5 linked regions of the Rattus norvegicus genome follow. The protein of the gene in region 1 purifies or fractionates together with the protein of each later gene. This does not show direct contact. Links are inferred from orthologs where the notes say so. Each region holds a gene or a part of one and is shown in the gene's direction. Other genes may lie near its edges. The genes, in order: Ap1s2, Ap1m1, Ap1b1, Ap2b1 and Ap1g2.

What was found.
Region 2: the proteins of Ap1s2 (region 1) and Ap1m1 fractionate together in Homo sapiens (co-fractionation; 6 studies listed by BioGRID and IntAct, counting the BioPlex papers as one, with this or other methods). This does not show direct contact. The link is inferred for Rattus norvegicus from reciprocal best matches to the Homo sapiens genes AP1S2 and AP1M1.
Region 3: the proteins of Ap1s2 (region 1) and Ap1b1 purify together in Homo sapiens (affinity purification with mass spectrometry; 5 studies listed by BioGRID and IntAct, counting the BioPlex papers as one, with this or other methods). This does not show direct contact. The link is inferred for Rattus norvegicus from reciprocal best matches to the Homo sapiens genes AP1S2 and AP1B1.
Region 4: the proteins of Ap1s2 (region 1) and Ap2b1 purify together in Homo sapiens (affinity purification with mass spectrometry; 3 studies listed by BioGRID and IntAct, counting the BioPlex papers as one, with this or other methods). This does not show direct contact. The link is inferred for Rattus norvegicus from reciprocal best matches to the Homo sapiens genes AP1S2 and AP2B1.
Region 5: the proteins of Ap1s2 (region 1) and Ap1g2 purify together in Homo sapiens (affinity purification with mass spectrometry; 3 studies listed by BioGRID and IntAct, counting the BioPlex papers as one, with this or other methods). This does not show direct contact. The link is inferred for Rattus norvegicus from reciprocal best matches to the Homo sapiens genes AP1S2 and AP1G2.

Annotation. Positions count from the first base shown.
Region 1 is NC_086039.1:34,227,368-34,233,303, reverse strand, and holds the start of Ap1s2 (AP-1 complex subunit sigma-2), read left to right. Parts: upstream 1-2,619; 5' UTR 2,620-2,741; intron 2,742-4,774; coding exon 4,775-4,953; intron 4,954-5,936. UniProt on the Homo sapiens protein: Subunit of clathrin-associated adaptor protein complex 1 that plays a role in protein sorting in the late-Golgi/trans-Golgi network (TGN) and/or endosomes.
Region 2 is NC_086034.1:17,632,648-17,638,562, reverse strand, and holds the start of Ap1m1 (AP-1 complex subunit mu-1), read left to right. Parts: upstream 1-2,188; 5' UTR 2,189-2,253; coding exon 2,254-2,295; intron 2,296-5,915. UniProt on the Homo sapiens protein: Subunit of clathrin-associated adaptor protein complex 1 that plays a role in protein sorting in the trans-Golgi network (TGN) and endosomes.
Region 3 is NC_086032.1:84,140,846-84,145,990, forward strand, and holds the end of Ap1b1 (AP-1 complex subunit beta-1), read left to right. Parts: intron 1-351; coding exon 352-481; intron 482-720; coding exon 721-805; intron 806-1,261; coding exon 1,262-1,348; intron 1,349-1,432; coding exon 1,433-1,587; intron 1,588-2,971; coding exon 2,972-3,046; 3' UTR 3,047-3,990; downstream 3,991-5,145. UniProt on the Homo sapiens protein: Subunit of clathrin-associated adaptor protein complex 1 that plays a role in protein sorting in the late-Golgi/trans-Golgi network (TGN) and/or endosomes.
Region 4 is NC_086028.1:68,598,495-68,604,502, forward strand, and holds the start of Ap2b1 (AP-2 complex subunit beta), read left to right. Parts: upstream 1-2,228; 5' UTR 2,229-2,345; intron 2,346-2,397; exon of another isoform or gene 2,398-2,541; intron 2,542-2,739; exon of another isoform or gene 2,740-2,853; intron 2,854-5,063; exon of another isoform or gene 5,064-5,081; intron 5,082-6,008. UniProt on the Homo sapiens protein: Component of the adaptor protein complex 2 (AP-2). Adaptor protein complexes function in protein transport via transport vesicles in different membrane traffic pathways.
Region 5 is NC_086033.1:32,545,422-32,551,207, reverse strand, and holds the start of Ap1g2 (adaptor related protein complex 1 subunit gamma 2), read left to right. Parts: upstream 1-1,927; 5' UTR 1,928-1,981; intron 1,982-2,349; 5' UTR 2,350-2,350; coding exon 2,351-2,551; intron 2,552-3,023; coding exon 3,024-3,148; intron 3,149-3,288; coding exon 3,289-3,430; intron 3,431-3,534; coding exon 3,535-3,631; intron 3,632-3,805; coding exon 3,806-3,882; intron 3,883-4,008; coding exon 4,009-4,104; intron 4,105-4,604; coding exon 4,605-4,685; intron 4,686-4,850; coding exon 4,851-4,949; intron 4,950-5,099; coding exon 5,100-5,155; intron 5,156-5,308; coding exon 5,309-5,422; intron 5,423-5,569; coding exon 5,570-5,710; intron 5,711-5,786. Other genes in the region: Jph4 (junctophilin-4), read left to right, coding at 110-193.

The DNA of each region.
Region 1 (5,936 bases):
ATTTAGCAGACATGACGGCAAAACACTTTTTGAAATTTAACCAACAATACAAATTCTGGTTATTAATTTTTCACACATGATTATCGTATAATTTTCCACGTTAACATAAAGAAGGCAATATCACCCTGAAAACAAAGACAAAGGAATGATAAGATTATATATTGACATGACAGATGAAAAAGGTAGTAGGTCAGAGGCAATATATATATATACACATATATATGTGTATATATATTTATTTATTTAAAACAAACCCTACAATTTGAGAAATGTGGAAATCAAAGTCAAACTAGCTAATTACTAACAAAGATGGTAGCCGTGCTTCCTTTTGTCTTTCACAGTGAATGCACCATTAGCACTTCATACTAAGACTGGGGAATAAACCATCTATAATCTACTGAAAAAGACCATCTGCTTCTATAAATTTTGTACTCATATACTTGCCAAAGGAAGAGAACGTATTAACAAAATAATGGGCCCTGCTCTGTTAATTGTAGGTTGTTTGCAGTTTTGCTGTTGCTATTAGAATTTAATAAGCCATTCCTTCTGCTAAATTAATAAGCAGCCAAGATTATGTAATAGCTGCTTTCAGCTGCTAATTATTTTCCCATAATTCCTTCTCTACCCCAGCCCTTCCTTCTCTCTCTCTCCTCACTCCTCTCTCCTCTCTCTCTCCTCTCTCTCTGGCTAGGAACACAGAATGAAACTGCCAATTAGCAAGTCTCCCATCATTTCCCGAGCTACTACTAACCAACGTTAGTAACATATCCAATCAATTTAAACTTGGGAGGTGACTACTTAGGAACCTTGGAAGACAGGTGTTTTGCACACAAAAAGAAAAGGCAGTGTTTAGAATTAGAAGGCAGTTTTTCATTATGTAGTATTAGTGCTATCTGTGAATTGGCTAAAAAACATCGGTTCCTTGTATGAAGGAAGAGAAAGGACATTAGCATTTCAGGGGCATGTTTGAACAGGAAACAGAAATTTGGGCCGGGGGGGCCTAAAGACCCACCAAAAGCCAATTCTGCTTTTTGTTGCTCACTTTAGTATATTTCACTCACACGTGCTAATATGAAACTTTCCAAGCAGCATAGTATTGCTGGAAAAGGGGAAATATTCTAGTTTTATTTTTGCTAAACAAAAGCATTTACAAAATGACCTCAAATTCCTATCATATATGATCCTATTACATTGGTACTGTAAGACATAAAAATCAACATTGATCTCTAATAAGGGGTTTCTTTAAATTGAATAAACACAACTTCGCTAAAAATGTAGCATCTTTTCCCTTACATTGGTTAATTTACAATTCCTGTTTAGCAATCTCTGCAAAGAAAGGCATACCCAACAAATACTCAGTTCTGGCTTTTTTTTTTTTTTTTTTTTTTTGTAGGGACGGAGGTGACTGTAGTAATGAGTAGCATTTGACATGGGAAATCCATCGCTGCCCAAGCAAGGTCACCTAATCCCGTGGATCTCCACTCCCCTTATCTATAAATGATAAGTTGAACTAGATGATCCATCCATTCCAGCATTCAAATAAAACATAGAAATCCATCATATGCCCAGAACTAAGTCAACATTTCAGCTTTTAATAAATCTATCATTATTTTATAATTTTATTAGGCAACTCACATTTATCAGTGGTGTTAAAACCAGGCAGGGAGCTAGATTGTTAAACGAATAAAATCCAAGGTGCACTAAACAGAAGCATGTGGGTAAAAGAGGAATTCGTTGTTCCAGGGCTTTAGAGTGAGGCTTCATAGATGTGACATTAGAGGAAGGGCATGGCAAGCAGAGCGAGTCGTCAGCAAAGCTAAACTGGAACCCGGGTTGGGGAAGGTGGGGGCGAGACCGTGAGAAGGAAGCGGGATCTGGAGGACTAAGCGCTGTCTGGATTTTTGCAGCAGAGAGCGGACCACAACTCATCCAGTCCGCCGCACTGCTGGGCGAAGCAAGCCCTGCAGAAAGGCTCTTGCAAAGCTTGGGGCCAGAAGTGTCTAGGTTAGCTAGGGCTGTAGCACTGCGTTGGAGAGGAGGGGCCTCCTTGCAAACGCGGGCGCGAGCACCACGAAAGCGCTGACTTATTTTCCCCAGAGTTGCAGCACTCCTGTCCTTGCTCCCACCATCATCACCCACTGTCACATCTCCCCGTCCAACCCTCTGGGGACCCAGAGAGTCATCGGAGCTCGAAGTCAGCTCTTTGTAGTGCGGACCATCCTTAGCCTGCACCACGGGGTCAGCTAAGGGCGCCGCGGAACCCCATCACCCTGCCACTGAGGAAGCCAGGACAGCCGGGTGCGCTGCGTCCCCGCGGCACGGCCATAAGTACGCAGGCGTGCCGGCCACAGCCAAAGCCGCTTCCGGGTCACGTGGCCAGACTTCCGGCCCTCGCCACGCCTTCCCTGTGGCCATTTGACCAATCGGCTTCTCGTTCTTGCCGGCAACTGTGCTGACTCTAGAGGCGGTTGGCGCCCCCTCGGCAGCTTGGCGCGCGTCCTCTGGTCCGCCTCTCAGCTCACCGCAGCCTGGGCTCCTCCTTCGTCCAGCCTCCAGGGCGGGATCTGTTGGCTCGCCCTACCCTCGCCGCCTAAGCCTGCCCTCCACCAGACGGGTCCCCTCCCCGCGGCACCACGGCTTCCCTTCAACAGCCTGGCGACGGGGGCTTCCCCTCAGCAGCTGCCGGCGCCTCAGTCTCCGCAGCCAGCCAAGCTCCGCCGCGTCCGCGGCCCGCAGCCGCCGTAAGTGTTGAAGAAGTCCGCTGAGGTGGCAGGGATGGAAAGAGGGAGAGATGGCCGGGGCGCGCCCCCCGTTGCCCCGTGAGCGCCCCGACGACCCCACCCCGAGTCCTCTTGGGGCGCCGCGCCCCAAAACTCACTTCTGGCGGCGGTAGCGCCCCGCTCTCCACTCTGCGGCGCGCCGGTGATACGGGGGACGGTCCTGGGTTCCACGGGGACCCCGCGGCACCTGTGGTTCGCTGATCGCCTCAAGTTTGACGGGGTGTTTTGGGGAGGGGCCGGGGTGGTGGCGACCGAGGACTTGGCGCCCCTGGCGGGCCAGCGGATGCCATTGTCTCTCTCCACTCCTTGCCGGTCACATCGCCCAGCTTTGGGCACTGATGGAGTGTGGTCCCGGGAGGAGGGGAGGCGTCCAAGACTGCGGGACCCCAGGGATGCTGGACCAGAGCCCACTCCAAGGCTGAGCTCATTGTTGTTTTTTGTTTTGTTTTTGTTTTAATACCAATCTGGAGAAATTGTTGTCCCAGGATTTGAGGCAAAATCAAAGCGAGGGAAAAGGAATACTTGTGCCACGGGTTTCGTCCCATGTTAGCACATCATTTGTTTTGAGGAAAATGCTTGGTTTCTTCGTTCTACAAAGTGTTAGGGCGGATACTAGACCCCGTTACAGATAGCCTAGAGCACACCCCTGTCATTAGCAAACCGTCTCTCCTGGTCGAGATTTAAGAAAACCGATCGGTTCCTTTCCCAAGTTCTGTTAACGGTCGGCGTTCAATGTCCAGTTGATGCTTTACTTGCCGTTCTCTTCGATGCCGCTGTCTTAAGGACTTACACGGGTAGCACTTTGCTCTCAATGAATTATATAGAGTGTTGTGTGGAGTAATAGCCAATTTTAACTTTATTAAAGTTAAATGGCTACGCCATAAATATCCGGATGTTTTCTTGGTGCCTTTTTGTTATATTGTGAGGTGGTTTTCCTGTCGAAATTTAGAGCCAATTTGATTTTATATTAGTTACGTAAATTCCTCCTCCGTGTGTTCATGTTTAAGGTAGTGTGGTGAATATTAAGAATTGTCCTTGAGAGGATCTTACTTGCACTGTCACTGTTAAAGGAACTTAAAAAGGTTAAAACAGAACACTTATCCGAATTTTACCTTCAAATTAGCTTTACAATACAGCCCATTTTTACCAGTTGAATTATAAAATACATGCCTTAGAAAACAGACTGACCAACAGACATGCAAATGCTAAGTAAATCCATACAAATTAGCTTCAATATAAAATATACTTGAATCCAGCATACATTCGAATGTGGTTTCTGTTTGTTTGTTTGTTTTAAAAGATGTATACTGTGTGATGTCTCAAAATGTTGTTTTAAATTAAATATCCTGTGTTTCAATATGGGTAACTTTTGGGTAAAGCTTTTTAAACTTCTATTCTCTTTTACAGACATTAACTCAGTTTTTGAGTGCTTATTTATGTTGTATTTTATAAAAGAGAAATGAAAACATAAAAAATCAGACTTTTGTCTTTAAAATGTACTGTGAAATATTTGACTAATATTCTGTTTTGTTTAAAATATGCTAGCATAAATTGAAGGGAGTGCTTGAAATTCCGCCTGGAACTAGAATAGCCTCAGGGTGAAAATAGTAGGTCTCCTCTTTCCTAGAAATGTACCTAAATCAGCTACCTGATGTCTGCATTTTCCTTTGATGCATGTAGAGTGGTGGAGTGTGGAACAGGTAGAAAATTGTTTCCTGAAATTATCAGAGTTTTTGTTCTTCAAAAAATTCACTCCAGCTTACCACCTGTTCTGCTTTTTACACACTCTCTTCTACACTTACCTACATACATATAGTAAGAAGATCTTTCCAAAAGAATTCCATGCTATTATAACCTCCATAGAAATGTTGATGGCTTATTGATCATTTGTCAGGGCGTTTACTGTGCCCCCCAAAGCGGCTCTGAAAATCATGTGCTCTTAACTGTTGCTCCGAGGTAATTGTATGTAATCTTGATTTTATTTATTTTAACAGATGCAGTTTATGTTGCTTTTTAGTCGTCAGGGAAAGCTTCGACTGCAGAAATGGTATGTCCCACTGTCAGACAAAGAGAAGAAGAAAATCACCAGAGAACTTGTGCAAACCGTTTTAGCACGGAAACCCAAGATGTGCAGCTTCCTTGAGTGGAGAGATCTGAAGATTGTTTATAAAAGGTAATCCTTTTTTTATTTATCAGAAAGGTGAAGTACTGTCAAGCATTAGGGTTATTTCTAATGAGGAAATTGCAGACTTTTAGGTCAATAAACAAAGATTAATATTTAAATGAAATAAATTTGAAGGAAAACTTTCCATTTAAAAATAAGTAACTGCTATTTTGATTGCTTGCCTTAGGGGAATCATTTTTTAACTAATTATATAAACAAGAGAGACAATTATTCATGCTTAATCACCATTTTAGAATAATTTAATAGATTTATTATAGGAGTAAATAGGGTCAGTATTTTAAATTTTTAAGTACTTTAATAAATTCAGATATGCATAGATAACAGTGTAATAACTCTTTCTTACAACAAATTTATAAAATAATAACCGATATTTGGTATTTCTTTTCTGATATTTAGAATCAATCTTATTCATAAATACCCTGGACACATAGACTATCTCATTATACAGATATTTAAATACTTTGTATATATACAGTATCTCTTTCCTAATAGCATTTATTAATTTGAAATAGACTTGTTGCTGTGAAGGAGTTATGCTTAGATATGATAATTTTACCACGGATGGATATTTTTAAATGATGTTGCAAAATAACTTATTAAAAAATAGCTTTTTGCACAGTTCTTTTCTTTAATGCTACACATCTTTATTTTGTTGGTAAACAAACATTTTCTAAGCAGTTTAAAAGAAATATAATTTCTTTTATATAATGTTTTTGAAGGAACATTTCCTTATTTCTTCCCTTATTTCTGATCCCCTTTGAATAATTTACTGAATTTAAGATAAAAGCATTTCTTCATATAAAACATTCTCTTGTATGGGGAGTGCTCAGAGAACTAACAGTATGGAATTCAATGAAGGTAAAGAGAAGTCTAGTTTTCTATCACTACATTTCAAATATGGATGGGTTTTGTGGAGGAGGTGGCAGGGGAAGTCATGGAGATTAATAGGACATAGAGACACTCTTAAGTAC
Region 2 (5,915 bases), on another chromosome or scaffold:
ACAGCACTGTGGATTGACATGCTGAGGTCATTTCTGGGTGAAGGCCATGTAAGGATGGTCCCCTTCCCACCCCTATTGCGGCATCTGTCTTCCCTTACACCACAATGCCAGGACAGGAAGCCCCTGTGGCCCACCACAGAAGTTACCACAGTGCTGCTCCATTTGGACCACCTGCACATCAATCAGATTGTATCTGCAACACCATCTGAAGCAAGGGCAGGACACAGGTCTCCAGCTCATAGCCTGTCCCACAGTCCACCCTGTGGATTGCCACAGCAGATGTTGCTAATCTCAGTTCTCAATCATGGCACCTGGGTTTCTAAGCATGTAGCATGTGGCATAAGCCTGGTGGGCACTCCTGGTCTAAGGACACCAAATGCCAGGTGTGACCAGGGCCCAGTGCCAACAGACGTGGTGTAGTGGTGCAGATGCTGCAGCGCTGTGCATCTGAGGGTCTAGGTAGACCACTTGAAGAGTTTCTGCACACTGTTGAGAGACGCAGCTTCTGTTGCCATGGATACTGAATGAATGACAAATGGGTGGAGCTGACATGTATGGAATAAAGTGAATACCAGTCATGGAGTGTGAATGTTGTCTGTACCGGCTGTCCATTACAGGGACACCTTTCCATTCTGCCCGTGTCCCTGAAGAATGAAGAATGCAGTGCAAAAACCAGTTCCGTGTGGGAGAAATCAGATGCTGTTGGGTTGTTGTTGTTGTTCCCCGCGCCCCCCCCCCCCGCGTCCCCCCCCCCCAGCTGGGGACCGAACCCAGGGCCTTGCGCTTCCTAGGCAAGCGCTCTACCACTGAGCTAAATCCCCAATCCCGATGCTGTTGTATTTTAAAGGTGTATATGTGTATATATAAATATGTGGGTATTGTATAATATGTATTGTATGAGTACACATGTGTAGAGGGAAACTTGAAGAATTGACTCCTTCCACCATGTGGATCCTGGGGTTTGATCCACCTCAGGTTGTAAGACTTGGCTGCAAGTGACTTTACGCACTCAGCTGTGTCACAGTCTAGAGGACACATTTATTCCACTGTGTTCACACCTCTCTGAGGGAGATGGTGTGTGCATACCTTGTCTCAAGTGTTTACAACCATTTTGGATTTGGGGATTTTTCCAGATTTGGGGAATGGGGAACACAATGGTTTTTGTAATATGTAATGAGATGTTGCAGTGACTGTCACAAATTTGCATACATTTGATTTCTGTTTGATTTGCCCCAGTGCACAAAGCCTAAAGTAATTTTATATTAATTTTTTCTGTCTTTGAACATAGAATACAAAGTATACAATCTTTTGAAGAATTTTGTGCATGAAACAGATATCAAATTTACTTTTTGAGGTTTTTTTGTTTGATTTGGAGTGGGGTTGGTGGGTCACAACCATTTATAATGGGATCTGATGTCCTCTTCTGGCATGCAGGTGCACATTGCCGGTAGAGTACTGATATAAATAAAATATTTTATAAAAAGAGATGACTACTGCTGCAGTCTTAAAAAAAACTGAAAGGGTGAGAAGGACATACAGGTAGCTCTTCCTACACAAAATGAAGAGCTGGGTTTGACCTCTGGGATCCACGAGATGGAGAGAGAGCTGACCCCACTCGTTCTCTGACCTATGTGTGTACAGTAACACACAAAGTTAAAACCAAGCCCATGGTGTCGGGGCCGGTGTCGATGGGTTGGTTTGATCTCTCAATGGGTAAAGGCGGTTAGGAATGACAGAATTAAAAAGTATTCCGCTGCGCTTTGTACTAAGCACAGGCTAAGTCACACGCGTGCTACCCTGGGTTCACTGGGGTGAATGGGTGGAGCCCATTCAGTTATTGACAGGTTGACACTAACAGGTGATGGATTGTCTCCTCATAGCAACCGGCTTGGAAGCGTCCGCCTTCATTCCACAGCTAGTCCTTAAGCTACTAGGACTACTGACAAAGCTGCCTTTCCCAGGTCCTCCAGTCCCCAGCTCATCTGGAAGGCCCCGCCCCCTGGGACGTACTTCCGGCCCGATTGGGCTGTGGGTGAAAAATACTGCCAAAAGGTTCGTACTGCGCCTGCACCTATTCCGTTGTGCGCTTGCGCACTTACGGCTTCCTTCAGACCGGACATAACGGTCCACGCGCTGCTTCATGGACCGGAAGTGGAGGGGAAGTGTCGTGGGGCGCGCCGGGCCTTGCTGAACGCCGGCAGTTCCTGCCGTTGCCGCCGCCCTCGGCTACTGCCGAGGCCTTCCAAAGCCGCCATGTCCGCCAGCGCCGTCTACGTACTGGACCTGAAGGGCAAGGTACTGAAGGGCTCTCCACCCTCCGCGTTGCCAGGCAACCAACGGGCCCTCGCCCTGTCGGGACCCACCCTGTTGCTAGGCAACTAGCCGACCAGCCGGGCTAGGGCGTCAAGCAAGCGGCCTGTCGGGACCCACCCAGTTGCTAAGCAACTGGCCGACCAGCTCTGCTGGGACGTCTGGCAGGCGGGGCAGCCTCACTTGTCAGCCCCGCCCTGTTGCTAAGAAACGGGCGGTGGTCTTTTTGCGAGTCCCACTCGATTGCTAGCCAACTTGGTGGGCTGAGGTTGCTGTCCACTTTGCTCCTTTCCCTTGTACGCCTGGGTGCAGGACTCTAGCCTCACCTGTGGACTGGAAGCTGCCTCCTGCATCAGGACCCTGCGCCACGGGGACCGTTCGACCCTTGGCTAGAGGCGTGGCGGGGAGTATGGCAATAGGTCAGACCCTCTCTCCACAGTGTACATAAAGGCTTCAGCGCTCCCTAGAGCAGCTGAGCTTCCTGTGACATTAAGAGAAGCGGATGATAAGAGTGTGGTTTTAGAGGGGGAAACACACTGCCCAGAGTCACACAGATTACTGAGAAGTAGCTATCTGGAAGCTTCCTCACCAGACAGGTGCTAAGCCCTGGGCCATCATGGGTTGGCAGAATCTGTCAGCTAAACTTAGTCACTTAGAAAAGCACAAATAGATACCTGTTGGGGCTATGTCTTCATAATGGACTAGCAGTCCCAGCTAAAGGATCAGGGAGAGCTTTCCTGACTGGGAATAACCAAGATTGCTGAGACATGAAGGCCCTGGACAGAAACAGGACCCTGGCAGCTTTCCCAGGGTTATCTGAGAAAGAAAACTTCATTTGTTTGTTTTTGCGGGTGTGCACATGTGTGTGAAGGAAGGAGACCCTCTGCTACCTTTACATGGGCTCTTGTTATCAAACCCAGGCCACTAGATTGATTGAGCTAAGCTGCCTGACCTTTAAAACACATGGATCTGCCTGTCTGTACTTCCCAGAAGAATCTGACTTTTTCCTCCTCTTGGTTTTATGAGACAGGGTTTCTCTGTGTAGCCCTGGCTGTCCTGGAACTCACTCTGTAAACCATGCTGGCCTTGAATTTAGAGATCACCACCACCGGGCCAGATTCTGGCTGTTGCCTGGGATTTGGTATGGAGCTCAGGTCAAAAACTTGGAAAACACTTTACAGACTGAGCTGTCTCCTTAGGCTAATGGATGGTTTCGTGGTGCTGATGATAGAGTCTAGAACAACAAGCCCTCTGTCAGGCAGCCACGGTGTATTCTGTGCAAATGCCTCTTCCAGGAAGGCACATTCAGCCTTAAGAAATGGGCTGCCGCCCTACCTTAGGCCATCAGAGTGGAAGGCAAGTGGCCTACCTCTTATGTTTGGAACCTACCAGAACAGGTTCAGCCACAGTAAACAAGTCCAACATTCATCAGTGAAAGAACACTGATGTCCAGTCTACATGGAGACTGTTTAGAAGAACCTCCCAACCCCCACCCCGTTTTTTTCCTTAGTCCCTTGAGTATATACCTGCCTTGTAGGTCACCCAAGGTCAACAAGTGGTGAGTCCCAGACCTGGGCGTCCTCCACAGCCTATTGGGAAACTGGGCAGGGCAGCGTTCCCTAGGTCTCATGGCACATGCTCTACCGTCCACCCTGGCCTAGAGGTGCAATGGGCTGCCTGCCATGGCTTGCTTATTCCTTTAGAAAACATCTCATTGGAACTAGCAAGTACCCATCCTGGGCTGAAGCTGGAGGGCTAGATTTACATGTGGATCTCTGCAGCTGAGCTGTGTGATCATAGACAAGCACCTTGGCCTGTCTTAGCTTTGCCTTCCTAATGGATCTGGAGTCTCCTGAGTTACTGAGTGTAGATGTGGGACAAGCCTTGCCCTGGAAAGGCCCACAGAACGTGGTACTTGGGCTCCACAGGCCTCTTGGCCTAGCAGGAAACACTTGAACCAGCAGCCAAACAGTTGTTGGCCTTCTGTTTGGCATTCAGAGAAGGTTACAAAAGACTTCCAGGCAGAGCAGACACCTGATGTGGTTCTGAGAAGGTGACAGATGTCCCAGTTGGCATGTAGGGTGTAAAGGTTGCCCATAGACTGTTCTGGGACCTTGGGGGCCCAATGGGAGGAGGCTCCACGGCCACCGAAGTTCCAGGGAGGAGTCCCCAGGATGGGGTTTGATCAGACCTGCCTCTGGAAAGCTTCTCAGGGAGGCTGTAGACTTCCCTTCCAGTACAGCAGTTCTTGGTGAGCACAGGCAAACACACAGTAAGTGGGAGTAAGGATGTCTTGGAGATCCTAGCCCTGATCTCTGTGCTGTGTTACCTCAGGCAGGCAGCTCCACCTCTCTGGGCACTGTAGTCTGTAAAACTAACCAGCCAACCATATAAGAGGTAGCAAGAGGAATAAAAGTGGGCAAGTGGGAGTCCCTCAGCTGAGGTAAGGAGCATCAGACCCAAAAGCTTACCCCTTGTGTGCTGTGTCTGCACAAGGCCCAAAAAGAACTCAGAAGGAAGCGTCCTCACTGCACTCTCCCAGCTAGAAGCAGCAGAGACCGTGCTTTCTGAGGAGCAAATGCAGCAGCAGGTGGTGCCAGTCTAGCGTGGCAGCTCAGGAGAACTGCAGCACTGCCACATGGCCAACCAGCCATGCTGACAGCAGGCAGCGTGACAAGACAGGCACTGTCACCAAGTAACCAGGACCTCCTCAACCCTCACCCACAGCTTCCTCATGGCCCCTTCCTGCAGCCATTTCCTCAGGGTAATTCCAAGGAGCAATTCCTGTTTGGTTCCTTTCACTATGCACAGTGACTCTGAGGGTAGAGCCTACCTGGGCGTCCTCATGTCCTGCAGCTCAGAGTCCCATGTCCTGCGTTCACATTCTTATCTGCCCTCAGCTGACCACGAATGGTTTTGTGTTTTTTTTTTGTTTTTTTTTTTTTTTTTTTACTAAGTGTGTGGGGAGGCGAGAGGGATACGGGTATGTGCGAACGTGTGCAGGCGTCCCTGGAGGCCAGAAGTAAACATCAGATCCCCTACAGCTAGAGTTACGAGCACTTGTGAGCTACCCAATGTGGAAGCTGGGAACTGAACCTGGGTCCTCTGAAAGAATAGCAGTGCATGGGGTTGGGGATTTAGCTCAGTGGTAGAGCATTTGCCTAGCAAGCCAAGGCCCTGGGTTCGGTCCCCAGCTCTGGAAAAAAAAGAATAGCAGTGCACTTAAGTAACGAGCCATTTCCCAACTCCTGGGATTTATTTATTTGCTTATTTGGTTTTATATACATACATAGTGTGTATCTGTATATGTATGCATATATGTGTGTGTGTGTGTGTGTGTGTGTATGCACATACACACACATAATTTTTATTTTATGGTTGTTAGTATTTGACTGCATGTGTGAGGGTGTCAGAAGCCCTGGAACTGGAGTCGTGGATAGGCGTGCACTTCTATGTGATTCTGGGGATTCTGCAAGAGCAGCCAGTGTTCTTCATTGCTAAGCCATCTCTCCACCTCCTGTTTGTTTTTTGAGACAGGTTTCTCTGTGTAGCCCTGGCTGTCCTGGAACTTGATCTGTAGACCAGGCTGGCCTCAAACTCAGGGA
Region 3 (5,145 bases), on another chromosome or scaffold:
CCTGCACACCCATCCCCCTGCACACCCATCACCCCGCACACCCATCACCCTGCACACCCATCACCCTGCACACCCATCACCATGCACACCCATCCCCCTGCACACCCATCCCCCTGCACACCCATCCCCCTGCACACCCATCCCCCTGCACACCCATCCCCCTGCACACCCATCATCACCCTGCACACCCATCCCCCTGCACACCCATCACCCTGCACACCCATCCCCCTGCACACCCATCCCCCTGCACACCCATCATCACCCTGCACACCCATCCCCCTGCACACCCATCACCCTGCACACCCATCACCCTGCACACCCTCTAAGCTCCTGTCGGGCTTCTCTTTTCAGCTTTGGCTTGGCCCCCGCTGCGCCACTCCAAGTGCACGCCCCACTGAGCCCCAACCAGACGGTGGAGATCTCCCTGCCTCTTAACACGGTGGGCTCAGTCATGAAGATGGAGCCTCTGAACAATCTTCAGGTGTGTCCCCACAGGGCCAGACACCCCATTTCTACCCACCTCAGCCAGGAAGCAGGAAGCCTGAGAGAATGGTGCCCTCGGCTACAGCTGGAACCTGGGCTAGGGGACAAAGGGCATGGCCACAAGGGAGGTCCTGTGAGAAACCCGCTCTGGACACCCTGCTTGGGCCCTAGGAGGTGGGATAAGCCCAAGAGTCAGGGTGTCAAGCCCGGGGACTGACTGGAGACCCCCATGCCTAGGTGGCTGTGAAGAACAACATTGACGTCTTCTACTTCAGCACTTTGTACCCACTGCATGTCCTCTTCGTGGAGGACGGGAAGATGGGTGAGTTTGAGGCCATGGGGATTCGTGTAGTAGGACTCAGCTAGGGAGCCTGGGGGACGAGTGCCCTGACATAAGGGCCAGAAGGACAGCTTTGCCTTATGAGGGGGTCTTCAGCTGCTCCTACCTGGCTTGCAGGTGGCCTGTGCCACCTTACTTGTGAGCGCTGCTGCTCACCCTTATGCTCGTCCATGGGCTGCAAAGAACCAAGTCAGTCACCATGCCTGGAAGCTGTGTGGCGGGCACTCACCTTTGCCACTGGCCCCAGAGCCGTGTGTAACAAACTGCAGAGGAGAAGACAGTGAGGTCAGATGCTCGTCAGGCAAAGGAGGGGCAGGAAGCAGAGGGCATTGGAGGGAACTGGAGGAGCAGGTGCCTGCCTTCCTTCACTGCCATGTGGTGCTGAGGGCCAGACTTTATTAGGCTTCTATCTCTTATCCTGCCCTGTTGACCCTGTAGACCGGCAGATGTTCCTGGCCACATGGAAGGACATTCCCAACGAGAATGAAGCCCAGTTCCAGATCAGAGACTGCCCGCTGAACACAGGTGAGTCCCTCCCCGCCCGTATTCCACCCACTGTGTCCCCTGTCCCCACTGATGTGGGCCTTCCTTCCATGTCTGATCCTGCAGAGGCTGCAAGCAGCAAGCTGCAAAGCAGTAACATTTTCACTGTCGCCAAGAGGACTGTGGAGGGCCAGGACATGCTCTACCAATCTCTGAAGTTGACCAATGGCATCTGGGTGCTGGCAGAGCTGCGGATCCAGCCAGGCAACCCCAGTTTCACGGTAAGAACCCCTGTACCCACTGCCAGGTCCACCTCCCTGCCCTGGCAGGGCTTCCCAAATCAGCCACCCTCTGCGCTGCTAGGAGACTGGGATGGGTGTCACTGTGCCAAGGTCTCTTTGAGCCCAGTGTGACGATCGGTTCTTAAACTTCCACTCAACCCCATCAGGGTACCCAAATAAGACACCAAGGAACATAAACACATATCCCCAGACAGGGAAATAGTCTCTCTGGCTATAGGAGTTGGCCCCACTGCCATACAGGTGCCTGAGTGCCTGGCCAGGGGCACTGATGTCGGCGGGCCATGATTCTAGACCGTGAGTCAGAGCCATCAGAGGATGACTTCTCGGGTGGGCTGGGTATTTGTAAACTCTCTGCTGTTCCCAGGCCTAGAGTCGAGGCTTTGCTTCCCCCACACCCCTGCCTGGTAGGTGTGGCCCTTCTGATGCTGGTGACCCTGGCACTGGTGGGTGGGGCTGTGGGGTAGCTGAGGTGGTAATTTCCGTCTTCCTGTCTGATTGCTGCATGCCCACCTTCCCTGCTGGTGCCATGGTACAGGACTTGGAGGTTAGCGGGTTGCTTCTCTCTTCTGTGCCCACCTCCATGCTTCCAAGCAGAACTACGCATGCCTCGGCTCCTGGTCTGGCCCCAGTGCATTCTGCTTTTCCCTGTCTCTTGGCCTTGCTTCAGCCTCATGCTCCCAGCAGATGTGCATGGGGGTTGCCAACACCAGGGCTTTCCAGCCACTTGCACATGCATGGTGTGCAGAGCCCTTAAAGGGAGGCCCATGGGGGCCACTGCTGCTGAACCCAGAATTCTGCTCGCCACTCCTTCATAGTTGCAGACCTGATGTTCTCAAGTGGAAGGGCCAGTTGGTTTCCGTCCCTCCTGCCTGGAATCTCAAGGCTTAGACCTGGGTGCAGCACTGGGGCAATTTCACACACTCTTGCTTCCTGTGCAGGAACCAGAGCGATCCCCACTGTCCTTGCTGTCCCCAGGAGAGATCTGCTCCCCCTTAACCCTTTGCCCACCAGGACTGTATGTCAGAATTGCTCCTGACCTAGACCTCCAGAGGTTGTAGAGGGACAGACAACTCAGAAAGGGGGTGGCTGGGTACTCCTGACGGCTGGTGAATCATGCCGCCTGCCAGTGGCTCCGGTGGCAGAGCTGAACAGCAGGCATGGGGGCTGCAAGTATATTTGGTTCCCGGCTGTGATGGCCACCCCCTCTGCTTTACTTCACATCTGCCCCACTCTTAGCTTCCAGCCTGCTGTGTGTGCATGCGACACGCTCCTGCTCGCTCTCCCATCTGGTGCCCGCTCTCCCCATCCCTTTACTGAAGAGCCTCGGGGATAAGTTCTTTCCCTGCCTCCTCTTCTCTTGCAGCTGTCCCTGAAGTGTCGAGCGCCAGAGGTGTCCCAGCATGTATACCAGGCCTACGAGACCATCCTCAAGAACTGAAGTCCCTCTCGCATCCACCCCAGCCTTCTGCCAGCCCAGCCATGGAACCCTGTGGTGGCAGCACCTCCTCCTTTCTTTGGGGAGAAGCCAGGTGGGCTCCTGACCCACCCAGGAGGCTCCCCTGATCCTAACTGAGGGCCTGGAGCAGGGCCACGTCTCCTAGAGTGAAATCTCCGTGCATCTCCAGTGGCTGCTTTTTTCTATTGCTGTTGATGTGGGATCAAAGGAAGTGGATCCAGCACAGCATCAGAAGCTGGACGGGGGCCACAGGGTGCTCTTCCTTCTGCTCTCCTGGGCGTGAACATGGAACCCTCCTGGGGTCCCAGCCCATAATCCCTGCCCTGTCTCCTCAGTGAGCCTGTCTGGGTAGAGTCCTCTGGGTGCCAATATTACTGTTTGGGACTCTGAGAGCTGGAGGTGGTGATGGACAGACATGAGCCCAGGGGAGCAACCTGGGCTGGCACTGTCTGCCCCATATAACACCAGTTGGTGCTCTGTGACCACCTGCATGGCCCAGAGCCCATCTAGGATTCTGTTCCCTTAGGCCCTGGAGGATGGTCACTGCCTACCAAACATTCCTCGGTGTCCTCTCTGTGAGTCCAGGGCTCTCAGACCAGAAGTGGGGTGAAAGGTGGGGCAAGGGGCAGTGGGACCGCTTCTAGTGTGAGCTCCTGCACCCACTGGCTGCCCTGGCTCCCCAGTCTGTGTGTGACAGTGACAGGTTGATCTGTCGCTACTGTTTGATAATAAAGAGATTCTGCTTTTGGCAATCATGCGCATTTCTTCCCCTCTACAAAAAAAGGCCAGCCTAAGAAACTGCTCTGATAGCCGGGGATAGTATCTGACCCTGCAGTGATTATATCTAATGCATATAAATGAAAATATATATTGTATATTTACCCTTATTTTCAAAAGAGAAAGCAAATAAAAAATGATGATGTTAAGTGTGTTCCTGGCCGGTGTGTCAGGTCATAAGGCTCCTCTGTGCGGGAGTCCGGCTCTGAGGCCATATACCTGACTGTGGTCCCCTCCCTTCATTCTGCCTACTGTGGCCTGCTGGAGTCCCTGTCACCTTCCTGCCCTTGGTGTCAAGTCCTCCCAGCTGATGCTGTGTCCCCTTTGATCCAGGGAAGGGATTGTTGCATTCGAGTTTCCTCTTTCAGGCCACCTTAGAGCGACAGGAATGACTGGGTTGGGTGGACAGGAGAGGGCTGGGCAGTGTTGCATGTGTTTTCCTGGGGACAGTTATCTGAGGAGAGTTTTATGGAGAGATACCCAGAAAGAGGACTCACAAGAGGCTAAAGAAACAATTTGTCCAAGGAACATGAACAACTCACAGGACGTCGTACTACCCAAGAAAAGTGCCACCTCAGCACTGTTAGCCTCTTTTTTTTTTTTTTTTTCCGGAGCTGGGGACTGAACCCAGGGCCTTGCGCTTCCTAGGTAAGCGCTCTACCACTGAGCTAAATCCCTTGCCCCCACTGTTAGCCTCTTAACTACCCTCGGGCAGGGAAGGGTCTCTCGACGCCTGCTTCCATGAGACGTTGGTGGACTTGGCTTTGTGATGGTCTTGTGCAAGTAATCATGGCACCTCTGGGTTCAGGACAGTATGACCAGTCATAGCACGTCTGAGCAGAGTCCCATAGTATCCTACCCCTTCTTCAGCTCCTTGGCGGGGGGGGGGGGGGGGGGGCGTTGTGCTAGTGGGCTATGGCAATAGCCTCTTCTCAGTACTTTGGCCAATGAATCTCTGCAGTATGCACTGCCCACTGCCTAAGGAAGCATCCCTATCCAAGGCCCACGGAACAGAAATCTCACAGAACTAACATGCCCATTAGCCTAGGACTTCGCCAGTCACAGTTTATGTGTCGATAAATGAGGGTTCCCGCTGTGGAGCAGACCTTCAGTCCAAGTAGAAGGCAGTTGGTTGCGCTCAGGGCAGTTGTACCACTCAGCACATTGTGCCTAGCAGGCCGGTGTTAGCATGCTGCCTGTGTACGTGGTTGAGAAGCAACACTGAGAGGCCATTTGTCAGAAGCCTGCACAGCTCCTGGTGTCAAGGAAGCCGGAGGACCCTCCCAGCCCTTGCCAGATGTCTC
Region 4 (6,008 bases), on another chromosome or scaffold:
AACCTTGTTACAATGAATGAACGTCAGGTTGTCATTGTGTCCATCAGATTCTTCTGACAGAAGGTGCTGGCATACATATGTAATCCCAATGCCTGAGACATTGGGCTATCTGGCAGTGAGGCCCTGTTTCAGAAAGGAGGAAAGAGAAGAGAAAGGAGGAGAAAAGAGGGGGAAAAATCCATTTGAGCAATCTTGGTTCAAAGTCTAGTTTCATGCTTAGCCAGAGGGTCAAGATTTCCTGATTAATGGACCCACAAGACTACTCTATAAAAAGGAAACTAATTATTACATGAGAAGAGGGAAAGAATTAAAAATAGTATGTCCTGGTTGGTTATATAACTCAGTGTTAGAGTATTTGCCCAAGGTGTGTGAAGCCCTAGGATCTTTCCTTGGTTCTGAATAGAAAAATAGTGTTAGTTTTTATTTTATTTTGGTAACGTGCCAGTTTTTAGTCACCAAATAATACACTAAAAACCCCAATTTCAAATGGGCAGTCTAATAGAGGCACATGATTGACCTTTCTATTAGAAGGCATTAAAGGTTAAGCCTGGCCATCAGGTTTGGAGATCTTAAATATATACTAAACATAAGTTACATAGGAAATTACATGATACATGCTCAGTAAATAACTAACTTGATTGTAACTGGGTTAAGTCATCTGTTTTGTTTTTTCTTTTAAGACTTATTTATTATGTATACAGCATTCTACCTGCATGTATGCCTGCAGGCCAGAAGAGGGCACCAGATCTCATTACAGATGGTTGTAAGCTACCAAGTGGTTGCTGGGATTTGAACTCAGGACCTCTGGAAGAAGAGACAGTGCTTTTGACCTCTGAGCCATCTCTCCAGCCCGTTTTGTTTTTCTTTTCTTTTCTTCTTTTTTTTTTCCCCCGGAGCTGAGGACCTAACCCTTGTGTTTGCTAGGCAAGTGCTCTACCACTGAGCTAAATCCCCAACCCTTTGTTTTGTTTTTCAAAGACAGGGTTTCTTTGTGTAGCCCTGACTCTCCAATTCATATTGTAGACCAGGCTATCCTTGAACTCACAAAGATTCACCTACCTCTGCCTCCTGAGTGCTGAGGTTAAAGGCTTATGCCACCACACCTGGTTACCTTGTTTTTTTTTTTTTGTTTTTGTTTTTTTTTAATATATAACAATTTATTTATTTTATGTATAGAAGTACACTGTAGCTGTCTTCAGACACCAGAAGAGGGCATCAGATCTCATTACAGATGGTTGTGAGCCACCATGTGGTTGCTGGGAATTGAACTGAAGACCTCTGCAAGAGCAACCAGTGCTTTTAACCACTGAGCCATTCTCTCCAGCCCTGCCGTGAGTTTTAAGTTTCAAATCTGGGGGCTGGAGAGATGGTTCAGTGGTTAAGATCACTGGCTGCTCTTTCAAAGGACCTGGGTTTAGTTATCAGCTCCCACATGGCAGCTCACAGCTGTCTGAGATTCCAGTTCCAGGGGACCGAACACTCTCACATACATACACGCAGGCAAAACACCAATGCACATTAAAGATGTTCAATAGTAGAGTGAGGGAAGCCTGGGTAGGAGAACCACTAAGCCTTACTGTCAAGGTATATATATAGATAGAGAAGTTCAAAGTGCTCTAGAGGCAGAAGCAAGAGGGGCTTAGTTTCAGGCTTGCTTGAGATACACAGCCCAATGCTGGTTTTTCTTTTTAAACACCAGTAGTACCAGTTTAGTTTCCTAAAGAAACCTGTATCCACTAAGTGTTTTGGGTACCTTATACCACGCAAGCCTACGGGCGAGGCAGGAAGGGGGCGCTAATAAGTTTCTCCAGTCTTGTACAACGTAGGGATTCAAACTCAGATCTGAATACTTCTTAGCATCTTTGAGTCGCTAACTCCTAGTTCAGCTGCCCACCTGTACTTCTGGTTTCTATCACCTCTATGGGCTTCTGAACCTTACATGCAAATTAGCCGAGGTTTGTGTTTAAGCATATAGGATATCTCACACAGGTTTAACAAAATTCTTGTTCATGGAAATAAATCAAGAAAATATCTACGTATTGAAGATATCCTTTGGAAAAGCCACTGCGGGTTTCCTTAGTCTGCCCTAACCCTGAGAAAGGTAAACCTTTCCGTTGCTGAGGCGACAGACACAACTTGGCTGTTTGGTTCTCCCGCGCACCCGGATGACGTCAGGCGGCGAGATTCTCTTACGCCAAAACTTCCGGCCCACCATCTTTGTCCCTGGCAAATTGGGTTTTGCGCAGTGTCTTAGATCTAGAGAGAATCGTGACGGGCAGGAAACCATTACACCACCTTCCCGGCTGTGCTCTCTGACTGCCGCCGCCACCCCGCCCTTGCCTCCGGTGAGTTCAAGGCGGCTGGCTTTGGGGTGTGTCCCTGACTGGGGGTAGTTGTGAAGGAAGGGAACCCCAAGCCGGGTCGTAGGCGCAGGAGGAAAGGAGAAACGGGGAGCGTGACGGTTGAGGATGGAGGGAGTCCTCGGGTGTGACCGTTGTGAGGGAAAAGCTTGGAGAAAGTACCTCTTTCGTAGTGACCGTGGTGGGTTGGGGCTGAGCTCCGGTGTAGCAGCGATAGTTGGGGGCTTCAAAACGAAGCAAGGTTCGGAAGACCGGCTTGGGTAGGGCTCAGGCCAGGGGTGTGGCCGCTGGAGGCCCAGGGAGAACCACCTAGATTTCCCGTTTGGCATCTGTTCATTGAGAAAGAAGCTTGGACGTGTCCGTCCAGCACGCCTAGGGAGAAAGGATTCCCGCGACCGTTTGGTCACTGAAACCTCCGTTGTCACCCGTATTCGGAGGCATCTCTCCTTATCCTGGACAGTTTTCTTGACCGGGTCTTGACCTGCGGAGGGAAGTGGGTAAAGAGAATAGGGGACTAAATAATGTTCTTCGAGAAAGGAAGGAGAAACTTGCGTAATTGACCTCCTGTGTGAGAGGGGGAAGCCAGTGAAAGTAAATCTTAGCCTGGAATTGTTTTTCTTTTTTTAGCTCCCTTTATTCCCCGGGGTTATTAGGAGCAGTCTAGTTTGGGCAAGGCTGTAAAAGTCTACTAGAAGTGAAAAAACTGGAATTTCCTGCCATTTCTTTATTCTTTGAATTCTCAGGATGTATTAGTATTTTGAGCAGCCCTGTTTAGAGGAAGGCTCTTATTAAACTCAAGCAGTTTAGGTATGAAGCAGTATGAATCTGTCATGGATGCTTCGCTGAATTTTTTTTTTTTTTTATCATTTAGAAGGGAGATTATTTTTTTAAAATGGCCAAACTCTTTTGTGACCTTTGTGGTTTAAAAGACAAAGGACACACTATAAGCACAGCAAGGCAAGTTAACTGAAAAGAAGGTGGTCTCAGAGAGGAACAATCTAAATTATCACCTGCTTTCCTTGTGTAGTTCTACTGCTCAGCCTCAGGGTGCACTTACAAGGTATTAATAGAAAGCGGCAGGTGAAGTAGGTGCAGCCACCAGTAACACATTCCCGGGATGACTAAGTGAGGCGGGCGGACATGTAAAATGAGAGCAGAGTAGGTGTCTTGCAGGGGAGACTCCCTGAGAAATAAAGGGGAGTGTGCTCTGCAAAAAAGCTCCCTAAAGTTGAGTGGTAAATTAATACAAAGTAAACATTCTGAGAAAATAAGACTCAGAGAAGTCCCTCACATCCCCTTCCCCTGTAAAAGGTCATTGCTTTCCTCTTAAGGCACACATTTGAACCAAGTCAGACAGGGAGCATTCAGAGGACATCATCCCCATTTTTCTTCTTTCCTCCTAGGCTTAGGTTTCCCCAAATGTCTTGGAATTTCATAACAGTTGGGTGTAAAACTGTTGGGCTTCTTTCTTTACGCATAATACTATATTAATGAATTAACTTGTAGTTGTTTAAATAGAAGCCAGAGGTGGATTTAGCTTTTAAATGTTTTATTTCTGATAAGCTAATTAATCTGAAGCTGCTATTGTCCTGGTGTTATGAACATTTTAGCCAGAAATGGTCTTCATACCACTCATCCTTATAAGCAGAGGTTCCTGGAATGTCACTAATGCTTTGCAGTTTACTGAACTCTGGCTAGTTATTGACTTCATGTGCAAAGAAGGGCATAGTGGCCTTGCCAGTGCTAACGTTGGCTGCCATTTCCCAGACAACTACTTGAAATTAAGACCTTACTAATTTGTTTCTGACTGTATTCTACCCAGCCTGTTAATCTTGGTTTGCTGTTGAGTTGCTCTTTGGGGAAATTGGAGGAGGGGAAGGCTGGGAGGAGAGAAAGGACGTTGACAACCTATATTTGGCAGAAACTAGGTTATGTTAATCTAGATCTATACCCTTGTACTGTGAAAGGCAGTGAAGCAATACTGTGGGCTAGGACAAGTTCAAGGATTACTGCTTTGCCTGGTGGCTGCTCTGTCCTTTAACAATGTCCCTAGGCCACACCTTAAGTCAGTCAGTGACCTTTCAGGTTTCATGTTGTATAAGGTGGTGTAAGTTCAAATTCCATTGTGGCTTGCTTATTTCTAGGGATTTCCTGAAAAATTTTGCCCCAGTAGGATTTTGAATTTTGAAGCACTAGGCAAGTTGAAGTTGTATTTTTCCAGTTCTATTGTGGCTTTGTGTGTGTGTGTGGTTTCTACTGTGGGCACCAGTTTTACACCCTATACTGGAGAATTTGACTGAATATTTGGCAAGTGTTTGGGAGGGTCTTTATTAAAAAATAGTTATATGAATTGTGAGTTGAGAGTCACAGGGACATTAAGGTTCTGTCACTACCACTCTTTCTCATTTTAATTAAATACTTAAAATTCATACAAATATATAATGTGTTTAAGTCTAGGCTGCTCCCCCAGCCCCCCCAACCCTTTCTTTCTACAGTGCTTTTGTTTAGACTGTTTTCATTCTCCCTTATCCCCCACACCTCTGCCCCCGCCTTAAGGATAGACTGGATGCCTTGTTTTTCTGCCTGTATGATGGCAATTATTTCATCACAATTATTGACTATGGTGTCAGTTAAATGAGTGATATATTTACCTGCTTTTTTTTTTTCCTTTTTTTTTTTTCCTCCTCCCTTTTGATGATGGAGAGGCCTTATACCTGCTAGGTAAGCACTCTACCATTGAGCTATATCCCTAATCCAAAATGCCACTGAAGATTGAGCACAGGATTTTCTGTATATTAAGCAAGCCCTCTACTACTGAGCCCTTTATTTATTTATTTTAGTTCATATATGGGTATTTTTGACTGCACATAGGTTTGTTCACCACTTCTGACCTCAGAGGCCAGAAGAGCGCATCTGATCCCCTGGAACTGGAGTTATAGATGGTTATGAGTTGCCAAGTACGTGCCAGGAACGGAATATGGGTCCTCTAGAAGAACAGCAGTCAGTGCTCTTACCTGTTGAGCCATCTCCAGCCTTATTTTATTTTTAAGACAGACTTTAATTAAAATTCCCAGACCTACCTCAGGTTCCCAAGTAGTTGGTTCTCTTTATCTCTGTTTTGTTAGAGAACAGAGATTTTTGATTTAGGATATATGTTGCAGGCTTCTTTTTATTATTATTTTATTTTATGTGTATGGGTGTTATTCCTGTGTGTATATGTCAGTGTATCATGTGTGTATGCCCAAGGAGACCAGAAGAAGGTGTCGGATTCCCTGGTACTGAAGTTATAGACCGTGATGAGTCTCCGGGTTGGGTGCTAGGAATCGAATCATACTAATCATGAAATGTGTAGGCTGCTAATAAACACATGCCTTAAGGTGGGTGAACAGAGTATGTTGAGAATTCCTGTTAGAATTTCATGTTATCTGGATATAGTGGTCCAAGGCAGAAACAGCAGGATCCCTTGAGTAGGAAGCCAGCCTGGTCTTTATATCAGTTTTCAAGCTTGTCAGACTATATAGTGAAGACCTTATTACAAAAGAAAGGAAAAAAATAATCTTATATATGTGTATGGGTACATATGAGTGCTTTAGAAAACAGAATGCTTACGTGCATTTTTCCCAAGTGGGTGAAAACCTTCCGAACAAA
Region 5 (5,786 bases), on another chromosome or scaffold:
GGGGGGGGGGGTCTGGGACCTTTCGGCTTTGCCAATAAAGCCAGGGCAGGGAGGTGGGACCTACACTTGCCTTCCCGGACTGACTTCACTTCGCCCTCTGTCTCTCTAGGGAGCTGCCAACCCCCTGGTGGTAGGAGCTGTGGCCTTGCTGGATCTCAGCCTGGCGTTCCTGTTCTCCCAGCTCCTCACCTGAGGCAACATCCTGGCTTCCTCCGGCTTGGTTGCCTGCCTCTGCACCCACTCTGACCTTTGACCTGCCTTCTCTTCTCTCCTCCTCCACCTACCTGTGTTTTCCCCTTTCCTTTCTCCCAGGCCCCTTTCTTTTTGTCTCTTGCTTCTTCCTTCCCTCTATTCTTTGAGATGGTCTCATTTATTCTGGACCTGTCTCTGGTCTTCCTGGTTTTCTTTCCCACCCCAACCCCTCTTTCTCTAGATTGTTTACATATGAAGGGCTGTTCTCTCTCAGAGTTGCTCTCTCCTCTGAGATACACAAATCTAAGTCAGACCATTGCCCCCCATGTCCTCCCCAACCTTTTATTTGAATCAAAACTTCACCAAGGGTAGGGGTTTGGTGTCCTAAGGAATCTCCTGGAATCTGAGTGGAAGGGAGAAAGAGAACACTTATGAAGTGACTGAGTGGCCAGACTAGGCACTGGCTGAGCCACTTGGGGCTCACTGGCCCCCATGGAAAGCTTCAGGGAGAGTACCCTCCACTCTTACCTCCCAGAACCTACCTAAGTTCTTGCCTAATTCAATCCTTCCCTGAGGGAGAAAAGGGGAGCGAACAACAGGAAGCTCCCCATGCTCCCTCTCCTGTCCTCCTCAGCCAGTCCCTCTCCCAACCCCCAAGGATGGCACGCCAAGCCAAGAGCAATGGGCAAAGCAACGAAAACCATCTGGTACACCAAGCCCGCCCCTCTCAGACTCTGCCACTCACCTCTCTACCCTTCTCCGCCCCCTGAAAATTTATTTGGTTGGTCTGGACTCACTTGTGGCCTTTGATTAAATTCCTAAGGGGCCTGAAGAAGACATTTCTGCCCAGGGTCAGAGGCACTGCAGCAAGCAGGGACCCCACTCCAGCTCTGGCGGTTGTGGGGAGCACACGGAAGACGAGGACTGAAGGGCAGCAAATGCTGCCACAAGTCTAGTTCCCAAGCCCTCACATAGACTCCTGTGAGGTGGGAAAATAAAGGGGATCTGAGGAACTCGCTCGCTGTCTCCCACACTTTCAGGCAGGGCAGAGGTGGGTGTCATCCCCAGATGAGAGGTGGGTGAAGAGCCTGTCTGAGATACGCTTGATCCATCGTCACTAGCTTATCCTCTGGGGACAGAAAGCTCTACAAGAGGGAACTGTAGAAGCCCGGGGGACTCTCCTTCCCTGCATGAGGCAGAGGCAAGCGGCCTGCCAATCCCCTCCTCAAGGAACGGCCTTGCCTGGGAATGCCCACCACACAACCTTCTTATTTTTCTAGTCAACCTCTGTTTACTCCCTGGCCTGCCTTCCTCCCGCCTTCCTTCCTTCCTTCCTTCTCGATCTTTACTTCTGATTTCTATTTCATGGAATTTGGGATTGACGTTATACAACAGTGCCGACAACATCAAGTCTTGCAGGAAAAAAAAAATACAAAGAAATTTAACAAAAAAAAGTATATTAATAAAAAAGTTCCAAAAAGGGGGGGACTGTCATCTCCTTTGGGGTGCAATGGCTTCTGACCCAAGTGTCACCTGATGGGGCGGATGAAAAATGAGGCCCCTGGGGGAGCCATAGTCCTGTAACAATTCTAGGTTCCTTTATCAAAGTACCAAAGAGGCCAGAGGTCAGAAATCTCAAGTAGGCTCAGCAAGGAGGCCCTAGAGGGGCGGGTCCCGTGGTAGAGGCGGGGAAGAGGGAAGGGCCCGAGCAGCGCACCAACCCCAGCTCTGTCCCATACCAGGAAGTCCTGGGTAGGGGGTAGAAGAGCAAAGCTGACACCGGAGCCAGGTGAGCTTGGGACTGGGGAGCCTTCTGTGGGAATGGGGGCGAGAAATCTCGCAAAGGCAATAGCGCAGAAAACCAGGAGAAAAACTGGAGAAGAGAATCTGGCCGGGGAAGGAGAGTGAGAAATAGACTGATCTGAAGCGCAGGCTCAGTAGAAACAGGCACAGGGTGGAGCAAGGACGCATGCGTAGTGGGGATGTCCTTGCGAGGCGGGAGAGTGGCTCTCGGGTCCAGGTGGGAGGTAAAAGTGGACACGGTTTTAGGTCGGCGGTGGAACGCAATCCTTTAGAGATCTTGGCTCAGGGCAATTCTGTCCAACCGGCTAGAACGTGTTAAATTAAGCCTTTCCAACTCCCGGGCTCTGTCCCCAGGATGGTGCCTTCGTTGAAACTTCAGGACCTAATCGAAGAGATTCGTGGGGCCAAGACGCAGGCCCAGGAACGGGAGGTGATCCAGAAGGAGTGCGCCCAAATTCGGGCCTCCTTCCGCGATGGGGATCCCCTGCAGAGACATCGCCAGCTAGCCAAACTTCTCTACGTCCATATGTTGGGCTACCCCGCCCACTTTGGACAGGTACTGGCCTGGGATGGCCCCAAATTTTGAGGAAGATGGCCATTGCGCCCCTTTGTATTTGTACCCCCCGCTGTGTTTTTTTTCCGCCAGATTTTTTGTTTCCGAAACAGGTTCTGTATAGTCCCGATTGACCTAGAACTCGAGAAAACCCTGCCTCCGTTTCAGTGTGGGGGTTTTCAGGCATGCCTCACCCTGCCCAGTTAAATCCTTTGGCTTCTGAGCCTTTTATCCATCACCCTACTAGTGATTTCTTGGCCAGCCCCGTTCAGCACCTCCCCATCCTCTTCCAGCTTCTACTCCTACACAGGTCCCTGAAACCACCCTGCTGTCATCTGGATCAACACTTAAGCCTCTGGTTACAGAGAGATGAAATATGATTCCTCACGTTAATCTGGCCTAAAGGAGGTTGTAGCGGGGAAGTTAGTGCCTGTGGTTTCACCCTGCTCCTCCTGGTCTGCCTCATTCCCTATAGATGGAGTGCCTGAAACTGATCGCCTCCCCCAGATTCACAGACAAGAGGGTGGGCTACCTTGGGGCCATGCTCCTATTGGATGAGAGACACGATGCCCATCTGCTCATTACCAACAGCATCAAGAAGTGAGAGGGTCCCGGGGCCCTTGAAATCAGGGCGCTGGGAGAGTGGGAACCGCAAAATCCCAGAGGGGCTGCCTGCTATCGGTACTGCGCCGACGAACTGGTTTGCTCAGATTTGACTGACCATCCTTCCAACCTTACAGTGACCTGAGCCAAGGGATTCAGCCAGTTCAAGGCCTGGCCCTGTGTACTCTGAGTACCATGGGCTCTGCTGAGATGTGCCGGGACCTAGCCACCGAGGTGGAAAAGCTGTTTCAGCAACCCAGCCCCTATGTGCGTAAGAAGGTGAGATGTGGGCGTTTGCCTCTCCAGAACGTGCTCTCAGTCTGCCGTGGAAGAGGCATGGCCTCTAACGTGGTGGCCCTTTCTGAGGCCCTCGACCTCTGCAGGCTATCTTGGCTGCAGTGCACATGATCCGGAAGGACCCCGAGCTCTCCAACATCTTCCTCCCACCCTGTACCAAACTGCTTCGTGAGCGCCATCATGGTAAGGGTCCAGGGATCTCCACTGTCCACTTCTGGTCTGGCTATGAATAGATGACGTGAAAAGCAAATCAGGAAGAGCAGCTCATCGGATAAGGGCGGTGCACACACACAAACACACGCGTAGTAGACTGTCCCATGGCCTGGCCCACCATTCACTGCCCCGCCCTGACCCCAGGCACCCTGCTGGGCACCATCACGCTGATCACGGAGCTCTGTGAAAGAAACCCTGCAGCCCTCAGACACTTTCGCAAGGTGGGCTAGTGAAGGGGCAGGCCGTGGGGCAGGCAGAGGTGGATGGTGGGTGCTCAACTGGGACTGATGGTTGAGAGGAGACAGACAGGCAGAACTCAGACAAGGCTGGATGTGCCCGTCTTCCAGGTAGTGCCCCAGCTGGTACAGATCCTCCGGACTCTGGTGACGACAGGATACTCCACAGAGCACAGTATCTCTGGAGTCAGCGACCCCTTCTTGCAGGTAGGCTGAGCTTTACTTGCCGTATTCCCAGAACAGAGAAGGCTTCTCAGGAAGACCTTGGCCAGTGGTCACTTCCCGTTTGGTCACAGTCCATGTCTTGAATAAGAAGGTAGTGAACTCAGGATTGCCCTAGTTGTCCTAAGACTGGGGAAATGAAAGGTGGCTACCAGAAAGTCCAGTTTGGTAACCATTAAAAGGCCTATTCCAAAGCCCAGTATGGTGGCCGAGGCAGGTGGATTAAATGAGGCCCATGAGTGTGTAGTGGGCCGGGTTCACAGAGTGAGTTCCAGGACAGCCAGGGCTACAGAGAGAGAGAAAAAAACCCTTCGGTTTTAAACTCCCCCAACTCTATGTAACTCTGACCTCCTCCCAGCTCATCTAAGGGAGCTGTAGAGGTGAGAAAGAGTTGGGCCCCTTGCAGTATTTGTTGTCTACACTGTTAGGTCTTTTTGCCTCGGGCCCACGACCCTACCCTGTGAACCACTCTGATCCAATCTCAGGTCCAGATACTCCGCCTACTTCGGATCCTCGGACGGAACCATGAAGAAAGCAGCGAGACCATGAACGACTTGCTGGCCCAGGTGGGAGGCACGCCTTAGGCCTTGTGGTTTCTTAGGGTCCATCAGGCCTGCATACTCCCCAGAGGACCATTCACCACGAAGAGGCCTTTCTGTCCCCGCCCAACCGACGAAGTCCATGCATTCACTGGAACCCTGTACAGATGCACCTCTCCCCCATCTGCACAGGTAGCCACCAACACAGACACCAGCCGAAATGCAGGCAACGCAGTCCTGTTGGAGACAGTACTGACCATCATGGCCATCCACTCTGCAGCTGGCCTCCGGGTACCACTACACAGTCATGTGCTCTTCTGCTGTGGCCCCACCTACTCAGCTAGTCCTGGTCCCTGGCTTTTCCCTAACCCCCATCATGGAGGAGATCCCACTGAACAAGTGGCTTCTTCCCTTACTGTCTCCACCTTCTTCCTCCCACAGGTTCTAGCTGTTAACATTCTCGGTCGTTTCTTGCTCAACAATGACAAGAATATCAGGTAACAGCCAGTATGGGGCTAGATTGTACCACTATCCACCTGGCCCTCTGCATTCCTCCCTTCGGATCCACCTAACCCTTAGGTATCCTGGAGGCAACACGGGTTATCAAGGCTGGTACGCCCATGTGATGTGGCCTCTCTTACCCTGACCAGGTATGTAGCTCTGACATCGTTGCTGCAGCTGGTACAGTCTGACCACAGTGCTGTGCAACGTCACCGGTCCACCGTGGTAGAGTGTCTACAGGAAAAGGACGCCTCCCTTAGCAGGTAAGCAGAAGGAGAAGGGAGAAGGGGACAGGGCAGAGGACACAGCACCCAGTGGCCGAAACTCAAACCAGCTCAAGAGCATCTGGGAATAGGGAAGCCAGAACAGGGTGAGCTCAGCCATCTGCACGGATGCCTTTCTCTCGCCAGGCGGGCCCTGGAGCTGAGCCTGGCCCTGGTGAATAGCTCCAATGTGCGAGCTATGATGCAGGAGCTGCAGGCCTTTCTGGAGTCCTGCCCCCCTGATCTTCGGGCTGACTGTGCCTCAGGCATTCTGTTGGCTGCAGAGAGGTAAGTGACATGTGACTGGGAGTCAGAGGGTGTGGCCTGGGAAGGGACAGTGTCAGCGCTGATGAGCCACATCCCC